3 linked regions of the Macaca fascicularis genome follow. Each later gene encodes a partner of the first gene's protein in a complex. Links are inferred from orthologs where the notes say so. Each region holds a gene or a part of one and is shown in the gene's direction. Other genes may lie near its edges. The genes, in order: NTRK2, NTF4 and FRS2.

Evidence for each region.
Region 2: the proteins of NTRK2 (region 1) and NTF4 are in contact, whole or in part, in a crystal structure (PDB 1HCF), measured with the Homo sapiens proteins. The link is inferred for Macaca fascicularis from reciprocal best matches to the Homo sapiens genes NTRK2 and NTF4. Residues at the interface, in NP_001018074.1 of Homo sapiens: Phe291, Glu293, Thr296, Ser297, Asp298, His299, Cys302, Pro304, Thr306, His335, Val336, His343, Gly344, Cys345, Asn350, Thr352, His353, Met379, Gly380, Trp381, Pro382, Gly383; in NP_001382418.1 of Homo sapiens: Gly81, Val82, Ser83, Glu84, Thr85, Ala86, Ser89, Arg90, Arg91, Gly92, Glu93, Leu94, Ala95, Asp98, Ala99, Ser101, Gly102, Trp103, Thr105, Tyr135, Phe137.
Region 3: the proteins of NTRK2 (region 1) and FRS2 are in contact, whole or in part, in an NMR structure (PDB 2MFQ), measured with the Homo sapiens proteins. The link is inferred for Macaca fascicularis from reciprocal best matches to the Homo sapiens genes NTRK2 and FRS2. Residues at the interface, in NP_001018074.1 of Homo sapiens: Pro498, Asp499, Val501, Ile503, Gly504, Met505, Thr506, Lys507, Ile508, Pro509, Val510, Ile511, Glu512, Asn513, Pro514, Gln515, Tyr516, Gly518, Ile519; in NP_001036020.1 of Homo sapiens: Val26, Asp27, Asp28, Asp29, Gly30, Tyr59, Leu60, Cys61, Leu62, Arg63, Arg64, Tyr65, Gly66, Tyr67, Asp68, Ser69, Asn70, Leu71, Phe72, Ser73, Gly77, Arg78, Ile86, Ala88, Lys90, Phe98, Gln102, Met105, Gln106, Ser109.

What each region holds. Positions count from the first base shown.
Region 1 is NC_088389.1:115,652,923-115,655,872, forward strand, and holds part of NTRK2 (BDNF/NT-3 growth factors receptor), read left to right. Parts: intron 1-1,962; coding exon 1,963-2,121; intron 2,122-2,950. UniProt on the Homo sapiens protein: Receptor tyrosine kinase involved in the development and the maturation of the central and the peripheral nervous systems through regulation of neuron survival, proliferation, migration, differentiation, and synapse formation and plasticity.
Region 2 is NC_088393.1:57,038,785-57,042,934, reverse strand, and holds the start of NTF4 (neurotrophin-4), read left to right. Parts: upstream 1-1,339; 5' UTR 1,340-1,459; intron 1,460-2,783; exon of another isoform or gene 2,784-2,850; intron 2,851-3,135; exon of another isoform or gene 3,136-3,140; 5' UTR 3,141-3,264; exon of another isoform or gene 3,265-3,387; intron 3,388-4,150. UniProt on the Homo sapiens protein: Target-derived survival factor for peripheral sensory sympathetic neurons. May promote ameloblast differentiation and subsequent reduction in proliferation of ameloblasts.
Region 3 is NC_088385.1:76,244,905-76,249,220, forward strand, and holds the start of FRS2 (fibroblast growth factor receptor substrate 2), read left to right. Parts: upstream 1-1,373; 5' UTR 1,374-1,514; intron 1,515-4,316. UniProt on the Homo sapiens protein: Adapter protein that links activated FGR and NGF receptors to downstream signaling pathways.

The sequences.
Region 1 (2,950 bases):
AGTTCTTTATGGTTTGCTCACGCAATTAAATGGCACCGGACGTGTGTAGATGTTTTCTAAACTATATGGTACATTCCAATTATGGTTTCAGAGAATGGCAAGGAGACTAGAGATGCTTTATTCTAGGGGTTAACAATCTTTGAAAATGTGTGTGCCAAAGTGCCCAGCCTTTTCTGGCACATAAACAAAAGGGTCATTTGCCTAGCTCTGCAAGGTGGCAGCAGCATCTTTGAATGGTCCAAAGCAGTCCTCTCCTTGCCACTGCCATGTGGGCTGCCCAGACCTGGTGGGATCATTCTACCCTCATACTGCAAGTCCTCCCAAGCATCTGGAAACATCAGCAGATTCCCTCTCCCAAAGTCCTAGGTACCCAGGGGTCACAGAGTTATGAATAGGGCAGATATTCACCAAGCCAGAAATGCGCTGAGATAGCTGTACCCATGTTTACCACCCACATCCTTTCTGGTTGGTCAGTGTCTGTGCAGTTTGAGTATCGACCCTGAGGGTGACTGTTGCCACCACCTTCAGACATGAGGTAAGACCATAAGAGAAGTCTCTGTCTATTAAACACTGATGACCTGTCACTGCTGAAGGAAGAGAGAGGAAATCTAACACCAATGAAAACCAACTTAGCCTTTATGAGCTTTATGTTTATTAAAAGCTGAATAGTAAAGATGGTCACCTGAGCCAGTAGTTTTTGTCCCTATTTGTCAAATTTGGATGCATCATACAGAGAAGAATGAAATAAAATACCCTCCTCCTTTTGTACTCTTGTGCTTTCTTTGGTGCTAAGAACATCACTGGGAATCACCAAGCGTGTTAGACATCTCTGACACTTCAGCCTCTTAGGTTCTGGGGTAGGGGAATATTTTTCAGGTACTGTTAGTTTATTTTCTTCCTTTAATAAATACTAACTGGATATTGAGGATTAGAATTGGGCAGAAACTCTATGCACCATTACTCTATAAACTCAGGACCCAGAGTTGTTACAGAGGTCCAACTTTTTGCTGTAGGATAAGCCCACCTGCTCTCAGGTGTCAAGCACACTGTGTAGCCTGGTGGTGCTGGGGGGTTACCAGGATGAAAAGCGGAACTTACCAGCCACAGGACTACTGTGCAGAAATCTGTTCATGGGTTTGAAATCAGGCATCCCTGACAAACCCGGAAATGAGCTTCTTAACTTTCCTCCACGAAGTAGAAAGTCATATACAATTTTACTTTGTCAAAGAAAGTTTTCTTTGCCTGTACTAATGCAATTGCTATCTGATGCCCCAGTCTTGGTGTTTTCATTAAAGTGGGCATTTAAAAAAATGTATTTATCTATTGTGGTAAATAATCTAAGGAGCAGTGCCCTGTAATAGAGGAAAGTCCTGAGCTTAGAATCCAAAGACCTGAGTTTTTGTGTCTGTAAGCAATCTGAATCTCATTGCCTTATCTGTAGAAGGAGAATAATAATGCCTGACCTGCCTATCGCTGAGTGATGATGGAGGGGTTTGAGTCAGCATCATGTACACATAAGACCTGAAGGCAGAAGGAGGCTCTAGCCTTGCCAAGGAAGTAGAGTCACTGGTTGGTCATTTTGGATGCAGAGCCCCTTTTCGTTCTCCTGGTCAAAGTGATCTTGTTAATTAGAAGATTGAGTCATCCTCCTAGCAGAAAGTGCATGTATGTGTGTGTAGTTTTATTTATCCAAGGTGATCATCTACCTAATCATCATCCCTGCTCCTATCTGGTTTTGAGAGAAAGAATTGCAAATAATATATTTTTAAATGATTTGGATCACTCTTTGCCCTCTGTCTCTGTTGCTTGAGACTATGAAGAAATCATATATCCCTTATGTGTTTATAAACAATTAAAACTATAAAGTGCAAATAAGGAAAGCAAGCAGTGTCCCCCAGCATCTCCCTTCCACACCTGGTTTTGGAGTGACTGATGCCTCCCTGTTGATCCCTTTCTCTCCAGGTCGGTGGCCACACGATGCTGCCCATTCGTTGGATGCCTCCAGAGAGCATCATGTACAGGAAATTCACGACAGAAAGTGACGTCTGGAGCCTGGGGGTCGTGTTGTGGGAGATCTTCACCTACGGCAAACAGCCCTGGTACCAGCTGTCAAACAACGAGGTGTGCAATGGGTCTGGCCAAGACCCTCCAAAGGGCTGAGATCCCAGAGGCTTCCATCAGCTGGGGCCTTGTTTTGGGTTGGAAGACCATGTCAGGACGTTATCTTATGGGGTTTTGTTGGCGGCAGCACTTCCCATGTAGCCTGCTATGTTTCTAAATTTCATGGTCAAAGTATAGTCACTCTGAGAAAGCAAAGCACAGCACTCGCTGATATGTCCTTGCCCCTCTGGTGGTGGGACTGAGGAGTCACTTTATGCAGCTCATCTGATAAATTAATAGCAGATGTAGCATTCCAGAACCCATACAGTCCAGCAAGTTCTTTAGTATTGTTCCAACGAAGTTTCAAGGTCCTTTCCCTTTTGAATATTTCACCAGAACATTAACTTCTAGTGAAAAACTCAAACGTTTTGTTTTTTCTATTCTTACTCTTGCAAATATGTTTATATTTGAGGCACAACTTCTTGGTCAGGCACCCCACATCTTTTCCAGATCCATGTCTGTCTTTTTAATCCAGTTCCTTTATCCAATAGCCTGCGAGGTTTCCTGTCAGTCAGTGCCTTAACACACAAGTGACTCGTGTTCCATCTCAGACCAATAAAAACCACAACATGCGGGAGCTCCAGTGTGAGGTTTGGGAGCATTCCATATAAATTACTTTTCCACCAGTTTTGTGAAATCAGAGTGGCTTGGAAAAATGGATATAAGCCAATCAAATTAAACACAACATAAACTAACCTATAATAATTGTTCTCTTCCTTCTGAGAAAATGAAACCAAGAGTGGGCTTCTTTTGTAAAAGCCCCTCTTCTGCTGTTTCTTGCGCTAACATT
Region 2 (4,150 bases), on another chromosome or scaffold:
ACAGAGACCTGGAGATAGGGGGACAGAAACTGTTTCTCAGTCACTCTGTTTGGAAACCTCATCCCTACTATCCCCTCCAGGACTAGAAGCTAGAAGCTAGAGTCTAGAGTCCTCCTGCTATGGGGCAGGATGTATTGGGTGTTTAGGAACAGGGAAATGTGGAGAAGCCAGAGAGGTGACCCGAACACACACCCAAAGCCTGGGAAGTGGCCCTTCCCCCCACCAATAAATAACTGTGAGGAGCAGGAAACACCCTAACCGGGGACACCCTCCTGCCACCTTGCCATGCTATATTTAGGCTGAGGGGGTGTGGGATGACCCCTGAGGCAGGTGTCAATTTTCCTTCTGAAAATAGCACAGGCAGAGGGAGGCAGAGTCTCAGGGTGGAGGTGTGGTGGGGTGAGGAGCCCGGCTGCCCTCATGACTGTCCTGAGACGCTCTAGCTCCGATCCCATCCCTGTCTTTCTGAGGGTCTCTCAGGGGCTCTGTCCCCTTCTCCGGAGGGTCTGCCCTCAGTCTCTCTGGGCCTCTGTCTTCTCTCTGGGCTTCTGCCCTCCCCCACTCTCTCTAGTCTTGATCCCCCTCTTTCTTTTGGTCTCTCCCCACTTTTCCATGCCTTCATCTGTCACCGCGCACCATTTCTGGAAGGAGCTGATTGTTCTTAAGACACATCTGTCTATCTCTGGGTCCTATAATACCTTGCATGTCTCTTATCTGAGCTCAGGACAAGACCCTCTCCCCGGTCCCCATCCAGGAAATTCCAGGGGAGAGGAGTATGCGGGAGCCCCCACATCCACTGTCTCCCCGGGCCTGGGGCCTTATCACTGCCCAAGCCCAGCTGGTTAATGTCTGGCGTGGAGCTCCTGGGAAGTGGGGAGGAGAGCAGAGAGTGGGAATCTGCCCCGGGATTGACACGCAATTGGCAAAAGACGGCAAAGGAATCTCAGGCCCAGACTCCTGGGGCTAATGGAGGAGGAGGCTGGGGGCTGGACTCCTGAGTCTGAGACGGGGCGGGGTTGGGAGGTGGTGGGGGGAACTGTGGGCTTAGTACTCAGGCGCCTGGGGCTCGGGGGAGAAGTGGCTGGGGTCGCAAGTCCCGGGTCTGAGGGAGGAGGGGCTGGATGCCTGGACTCCTGGGTCTGAGGGAGGAGGGGCTGGGGACCTGGACTACTAGGTCTAAAGGAGGAGGCAGCTGGAGACTGGGACTCCTGTGACCAATGCGGCCGGGTTGAACGAGCCAGGCCTGGCTTCCAAGGTCCCGGCACGCCTGTGCAAGGCAGGATCCCCCGGCCCCTCCTCTGCCGTCCGGCGCCGCCCCGCCCCCGCCCCCGACCCGGGCCCTGCCGAGAGTGAGCAGGGAGCAGCCGGCGGGCCAGCGAGCGTCCCTGCAGCCAGCGAGCAGGAGGAGGAGCTGCTGCTGGGGCGAGGGCAGCTGGGGGAGCCGAAGAGGGCGCCCCAGGTAAGAGCTCCGCGCCTCCTCCCCCGGGATTCCGGCGTCCTGGTCGCCCTGCCCTCGGGTGGGGAGGGACGGGGGCGGGGCCGACGGGGGCGGGGCTTGGCTGAGGAAACTGAGGCAGGAGGGAAGTGTCCCAGATACGCAGCCGGTTTCCCCTGAGGGGTCTCAGGAGTCCAGACCCCCCACCCAAATCTGGAGGATGAGGAACCCGGAGTCTGCATTTCTTAGTACCCGAGAAGGAGGAGCCTGAATTCCAGAACTCCTGGGTCTGAGAGAGGAGGGCGCTGGGAGCCTGGATTCCTGGGTCTGAGGGAGAAGGGCGCTGGGGGCATGGACTCCTGGGTCTGAGGGAGGAGGGCGCTGGGGGCATGGACTCCTGGGTCTGAGGGAGGAGGGCGCTGGGGGCATGGACTCCTGGGTCTGAGGGAGGAGGGCGCTGGGGGCCTGGACTCCTAGGTCTGAGGGAGAAGGGTGCTGGGGGCATGGACTCCTGGGTCTGAGGGAGGAGGGCGCTGGGGGCCTGGATTCCTAGGTCTGAGGGAGGAGGGCGCTGGGGGCATGGACTCCTGGGTCTGAGGGAGGAGGGCGCTGGGGGCCTGGACTCCTAGGTCTGAGGGAGAAGGGTGCTGGGGGCATGGACTCCTGGGTCTGAAGGAGGAGGGCGCTGGGGGCCTGGATTCTTCGGTCTGAGGGAGAAGGGTGCTGGGGGCATGGACTCCTGGGTCTGAGGGAGGAGGGCGCTGGGGGCCTGGATTCTTCGGTCTGAGGGAGAAGGGTGCTGGGGGCATGGACTCCTGGGTCTGAGGGAGGAGGGTGCTGGGGGCATGGACTCCTGGGTCTGAGGGAGGAGGGCGCTGGGGGCCTGGATTCCTGGGTCTGAGGGAGAAGGGTGCTGGGGGCATGGACTCCTGGGTCTGAGGGAGAAGGGTGCTGGGGGCATGGACTCCTGGGTCTGAAGGAGGAGGGCGCTGGGGGCCTGGACTCCTAGGTCTGAGGGAGAAGGGTGCTGGGGGCCTGGACTCCTAGGTCTGAGGGAGAAGGGTGCTGGGGGCCTGGTCCTGGACTCCTCCTGGGTCTGAGGGAGGAGGGGCTGGGGGCCTGGATTCCTCCTGGGTCTGAGGGAGGAGGGCGCTGGGGATCTGAACTCCTGGGTCTGAAGGTGGAGGCCCTGGGGTGTGAAGGAGAAGGCAGTCCTGGTTGGGTCAGCCTGGGCTCCTTTCACTCTCCACCCTTCCCCTTTCCTGTACCGAGGAGCCAGGGCAGGCAGTCACTCCAGGTATGTGCAGAAGTCTTGGGCGGGCCCTGGCCTGTCCTGTGAGGAGGGAACATTCCAGGAAGCAGCTTGGGGAACCAGGGCTTCTTGAGTGTGGGCCCTCAGGGACCCAGGTGTCCAGGTCAGTTCCGCCCCCTCTGGGAGATGAATGGGCCGAGGGGGATGTCATCTCTTCCAGCCTGCTTCATCCACTGCCTCTCCCTTCCCCTCTTCTCCCCTCCCCTCCCTCCATCTGCTTCCCATCCCAGCCAGGAGCCATCACCTGGGTAGAAAAGGGGCCTCTGGAAAGGGGGCGGGGCCTTGACTCTTGGGTACCCTGAACTTCAAGAGGAACTCTGGGGAGGGGGTGTTCAGGGATTTGACCCCTCCCCCACTTGCCTCTATAACCTGTCTATTCCTTTCTTCCCCTAGGTGGTTGCCCCCTCCCTCTCCTGAGATGTCAGGAAGGAGGGGGCCACCTGTGTCCTCCACAGGGGCCCCCCGAAGCCTGGGGACTCCCAGCCCCAGAGCTCCGAGGTGGAGGAGGTGCTGACAGGTCTGGTAACCACTGACTGTTTCCCAGTCTTCTCCACACCACCCTTTCCCAGAACCACAGGCTTCCAGAATGTTGTAGAGAAACTGCAACATCCAAGCCTCCACCAGCCTCTCCCAGCGCCAGGTCAATTTCACACACGGGAAAACTGAAGCCTGTCTCAGAGGGGCAGCGTTTTCCCTCCTTAGTGGCAGTTTTGAGGTGCAATGGGGTCTCCCTAGGATTCCAGGTTGTGGCCTTTCTCCAAATTGTAGAATGTGGCCAGGCATGGTGGCTTGAGTCTGTAGTCCCGGCTACTCAGGAGCCACAGCAGGAGGATTGCTTGAGCCCAGGAGTTCAAGTGCAGCGGGGAAATATAGCGAGACCTGGTCTTAAAACAATTTGTGGCCGGGGTGCGGTGGCTCACGCCTGTAATCCCAGCATTTTGGGAGGCCGAGGCGGGAGGATCACGAGATCAGGAGATCGAGACCATCTTGGCTAACATGGTGAAACCCCATCTCTACTAAAAAAAATACACAAAAAATTAGCCGGGCGTGGTGGCGGGCATCTGTAGTCCCAGCTACTCGGAAGGCTGAGGCAGGAGAATGGCGTGAACCCGGGAGGCGGAGCTTGCAGTGAGCCAAGATCGCGCCACTGCACTCCAGCCTGGGTGACAGAGCGAGACTCCGTCTCAAAAAAAAAAAAAAAAAAAAAAACAATTTGTTTGGGACCAGGTGCCATGGCTCATGCCTGTAATCCCAGCACTTGGGGAGGCCAGAGTAGGAGTATCACTTGAGGTTGGGAGTTCAAGACCACTCTGACCAACATGGCGAAACCCCATCTCTACTAAAAATACAAAAATTAGCTGAAAAACTGTGGCAGGCACTTTTAATCCCACCTACTCAAAAGG
Region 3 (4,316 bases), on another chromosome or scaffold:
CTGTTTTTTACTTCTTCACACCCTGAGGCACAAAAGGTTGCTTGAATTTGAGTGTTACAGAAATATTTGCAAACACTTCTGCGATCACTAAAATAAAATAAATAAGACAGCCCTGTAAATAAAGCCAAGAGCAATGGCATTGTTTGCATCTTAAATTTGTAGTAATGGGTTTTCACATTTTTTCATTTCCCCTGCCTTTCATAGTAGAAAAATTTAAAAATCTCGTCCCCCCCGCCGTATCAAGAGATGTTAGTACATTTGTTTTGCAGATAGTATGCATGTTAAGAGGCTTTTTTTTTTTTCTTTCCCTGCATCCCAGATACAGAATCTGCCTCAGTTATCTGGTGCCTTTCTCATTTTGTGGCTGAGGAATCCTCCCCTCCTCCTTTCCGTCCCCTTTCCCTGTCTGATATGTAACTCTGTGGGACCTCATGCTATCTCTGCACGGCGTTTCCCAAGCACCTGCATTTTTCCCGTTGTAAAAACCTCTACTCTTTCTTATTTCCTTAACTAATCTTTTCTATTGCCTATTGCTAATGAGGTATAAGAATCGTTGACTTTTATCCAGTGCCAGACACTGAAATGTTTATCATGCATTATCATTTTGGATTCCTACAATACAGAGATGATTTTGTAACTTGCCAGGGTGAAAAAATAAAAGCAAATAAAAGGAGACAAGCGAAAAGACTCCAGGTCCCCACCCCAACCCCTCCACCCTAGCTCTAGCCTCTGTTGAACTCGCCAGTGATGACAGAATATAGGAATATAGTTTGAGTCCTGTCTTAAATAATTTAAAAATCTTGTTATAGGTAGGTGAGATTTATACACACATGAATTAAAATCAAGCAGCCAACGTTTGTGATGTTGGGTTTGGTATCTTTGACCGTTTTTCTCCCCTGCAAGATGTAGATAACAGCACCAACCCCAAGGAGTTTGGGGATGATTAAATAAGTTAATGCACCTGAAGGGACTTAATAGTGCCTACCACGTAGTAAGCGTTCAATAAGTGTTAACTATTATCATTATTTTTTAAAGGAGGCAGATTGGAGCGTAGAATACACTGAAGGGAGTCGGGAGGCCGGGTGTATGCGCTGGATTCTTGCACGTAAATTCTCAGAGCCTCGGTTTCCTTATTTGTAAAATTAGGTGGCCGGAGTAAAACAACTCGAACAGCAGTTAAAGCAAAGGGTGCAGCAGCAGCCGGGGAACCGAGGAGGCACGGGGCGGAAAGGGTTAGCTAGAGCCCAAAGGCTGATTTCTGGGCGCCGGGCGAGAGAGTCCCCGCCCCGCCTGGAGGCCCTGGCAGCTCCGGGCTGAGAGCAGTTCCGGTGCCAAAACCCTTCCCTCCCCCGCTCCCCCGGAAGTGCTTTTCCAGGATTCAGGCCGGAGAGAGGCCTTGTAGGCACAGCGGCTGAGACTCGATCTGCTCCAAGTAGGGGCTCCAGCCCGGTCGGAGTCTGGGGGTTCGCGCCCGCCGACCCGCGCTCTGCTCCCTCTCAGCACCTGGGCCGACGGTGAGTGGCTAGGGAAACGGACTGGGACGGCCGCGGGCCCGCGTCAGGCTGGCGTTTTCGTGCCCCTGCTGCCCGCTTCGGGATCCGGGCTGAGGGCTCGGCTGCCGGCGTCCGGGGAAGGGGATTGTCGACCGCCGCGGAGTTCTCCGAGCCAGCGGGACGGGAAGAAGAGGGCTGTGGGTCCATGGGGTGGGCGGGGCGGAGCCAGTAAGGGGGTTCCCAGAGCTGTTGTTGCTGTTGGGACTCGGGAGTGGGGATGGGCTGGGCCTCCGTCCGTCCGACCCCCTCATGTGTGCTCCCCCAAACCTCGCCGCTCCCCAGTTTGGTATTCTGTGTCTGGCCTGGGGTAGTAGCTGGACCTGAGGCTCAATCTTGGGCTCAAGTTCCCGACGTTTCGTCTCCTCTGGGTCTGTCCCGGGCTCAGTAATTAACCCGGGTCCCCGGGGTGTCGTCTTTTCACTCCAGGGTGGGGCGCTGCCTCTAAATGCCAGGGATCTTTTGCAGGGCTTTTCGTACAGATTTGCTTCTGGGTTGTCCGGGATCGATTTGGACTGGGCTTGGAAGCGGTTCTGGATACGTAGGTCGCTGTGGCACCAGCATGCTCTGTATCATCTTTACTCACTTGAAAGCTCACTGAAGCTGTTATTGAAGTAAACTTTAAAAAAAAAAAAAAACTTGCTTAAGGAAAATCCGTAGTTTAGACACCCCCCCCCCCGCCTTTTTTTGCAGACATATTAAAAAAAATAAAGATGCTGTTCTCTTCTCTGCACTGTTAATTCTTTTGGCTATCTGATGTCACAGTTGTATGATGAGTTCATTCAGAGGCTATACGAATTGATTGCAAAGAGTTGGACAATTATTATATCCTTTCTCCCAAAGTTTGTTTACCTTCATATTTGGAACTGTCATATTTCTTAAAGAAAAATTGTTCTTGGATTTTCTTGAGAGATTCCTTACACTGTTAAAATTGTTGCTGCAATGCAGAATTTCACACAGGTGGGCAGAGATGTTTTGTTTGTTTAAACTTATTCCGTGAAGTGTTTACTTCGGATAAACTGAGGATTTCCTAGGGGAGAAAGTGATGTAGGTACGTTTAGTGAACAGAATTTAGGTAATAAACTTTACTGCTGAAAGGTTTGTAGGAAATAACGGGTTTTCCACAATAAATGGTGATTTAAGAACTTTTTATAAGGGAATGCAGTTACTGCAGATTATTGCTATTAGCAGATGGCCACTGTTTTTGCAGCGTAAAGTATACACAAATCACCTTCTTGAAACCAGTGACACTATCTGCACCTCTTATCTTGTGTGTAGATTAGGATTTATACTGTAATTTTTTGGGTACTTATGTCATTCTCTTTCCTCCCACCCCTGAAAGGGGAGGTGGTGTCATGAATCAGGAAAAATAGACTGAAGTGACAAGTTCAGTGAGCTTTCCTATGCAAAGGAAAATTTATTTCAAGGTTGTTGATTTTGAAGAGGCAAAGGGTAGATGATTTTTAAAGTCCTTGGAAAAAATTGTGGAGAGATTAGCTGCACAACTTTTCTTTTTCCTTTTCTTTTCTTTACCTTCCTTTTCTTTTTTCTTTTTCGAGACAGCCTCATTCTGCTGCCCAGGCTGCAGCGCAATGGCACCATCATAGCTCACTGCAGCCTCCAACTCCTGGACTCAAGCAATCCTTCTGTCTCAGACTCCTGAGTGGCTAGGGGCACCAACCACCACACCTGGCTAATTTTTTTTTTTTCAGTAGAGCCGAGGTTTCACTATGTTGCCAGGCTGGTCTTGAACTCCTGGGCTCAAGTGACCCTCCCATCTCGGCCTTCCAAAGTGCTGGGGTTACTATTGTGAGCCACCATGCCCAGCCTATTTGCACAACTTTTAAATTTAGATAGAAACTGTAGATTCAACATGTGAAGTACTTAATTATTTAGAGCATAATATTGGAATTGAGAGAATCTGGAAAAATAGTTAAGTTAGGTGTAGTTACAGATTTGCAGGTACGACAGTGTGTTTTGAAGGGAAATATTTCAAGAGATTTAAGAGCAGAGAAAGGTGGGGAAAATCAGATACTGATTGTATTTTTATATTATACAAGTCAATTCAACAGATACTGAGCATTTGCTGTGCATCAAGCTAGTTAGGCAATAAAGGAGCAAATAAAGGTACAGGCATAACAGGTGAGCTTCATGTTTTGGTAATAATTTCTGAAATCATGAAGAGTTGAGTTGTATTCTTTAGGCATACTAAAAATTTTTTTTAAATTGGGACTTAACTTTGGCGATGGGTGTTGAGTGCTTAATGAAAAGTGCTATACTAGGCATTTTAGGATATAAAGATTAAATTTTTGGTTTTTAGAAATTTGAAATCTAGAAGGAGATATGAGATTTGTGTAAACATTTACAACGTAAACATTTGTAAATACTTACGTGGGTGGTTTAAGGTAAAGTTTGGAGTAAATTACACAAAAGAAGAAAGGGTTCATTTTTAGCTTGAGTAATGGAAATTTGTGGAGATAGCTCAGAAGCTACTATTTATTCAGCATTTACTGAACAGACTCAATGCTAGTTGCTGTTTACAACATTTTCTTAGCTTCACAGCAATATGTAAGTAGCTTAATGATGAGGACAGTGAGGCTGAAATATGTTAAGTTACTTGCCTGGGCTATGTGGCTAGCAGTAACAGCCCCAATTTGAATCCAAATCTGTCTGGTGCCAAAACCTGTGTGTTTCTCCTGCATCATGTTGCTTCCCAATAAACTGGTAACCTGAGTTTAATGTTACAGAGAATAAGATTTTTCTAAG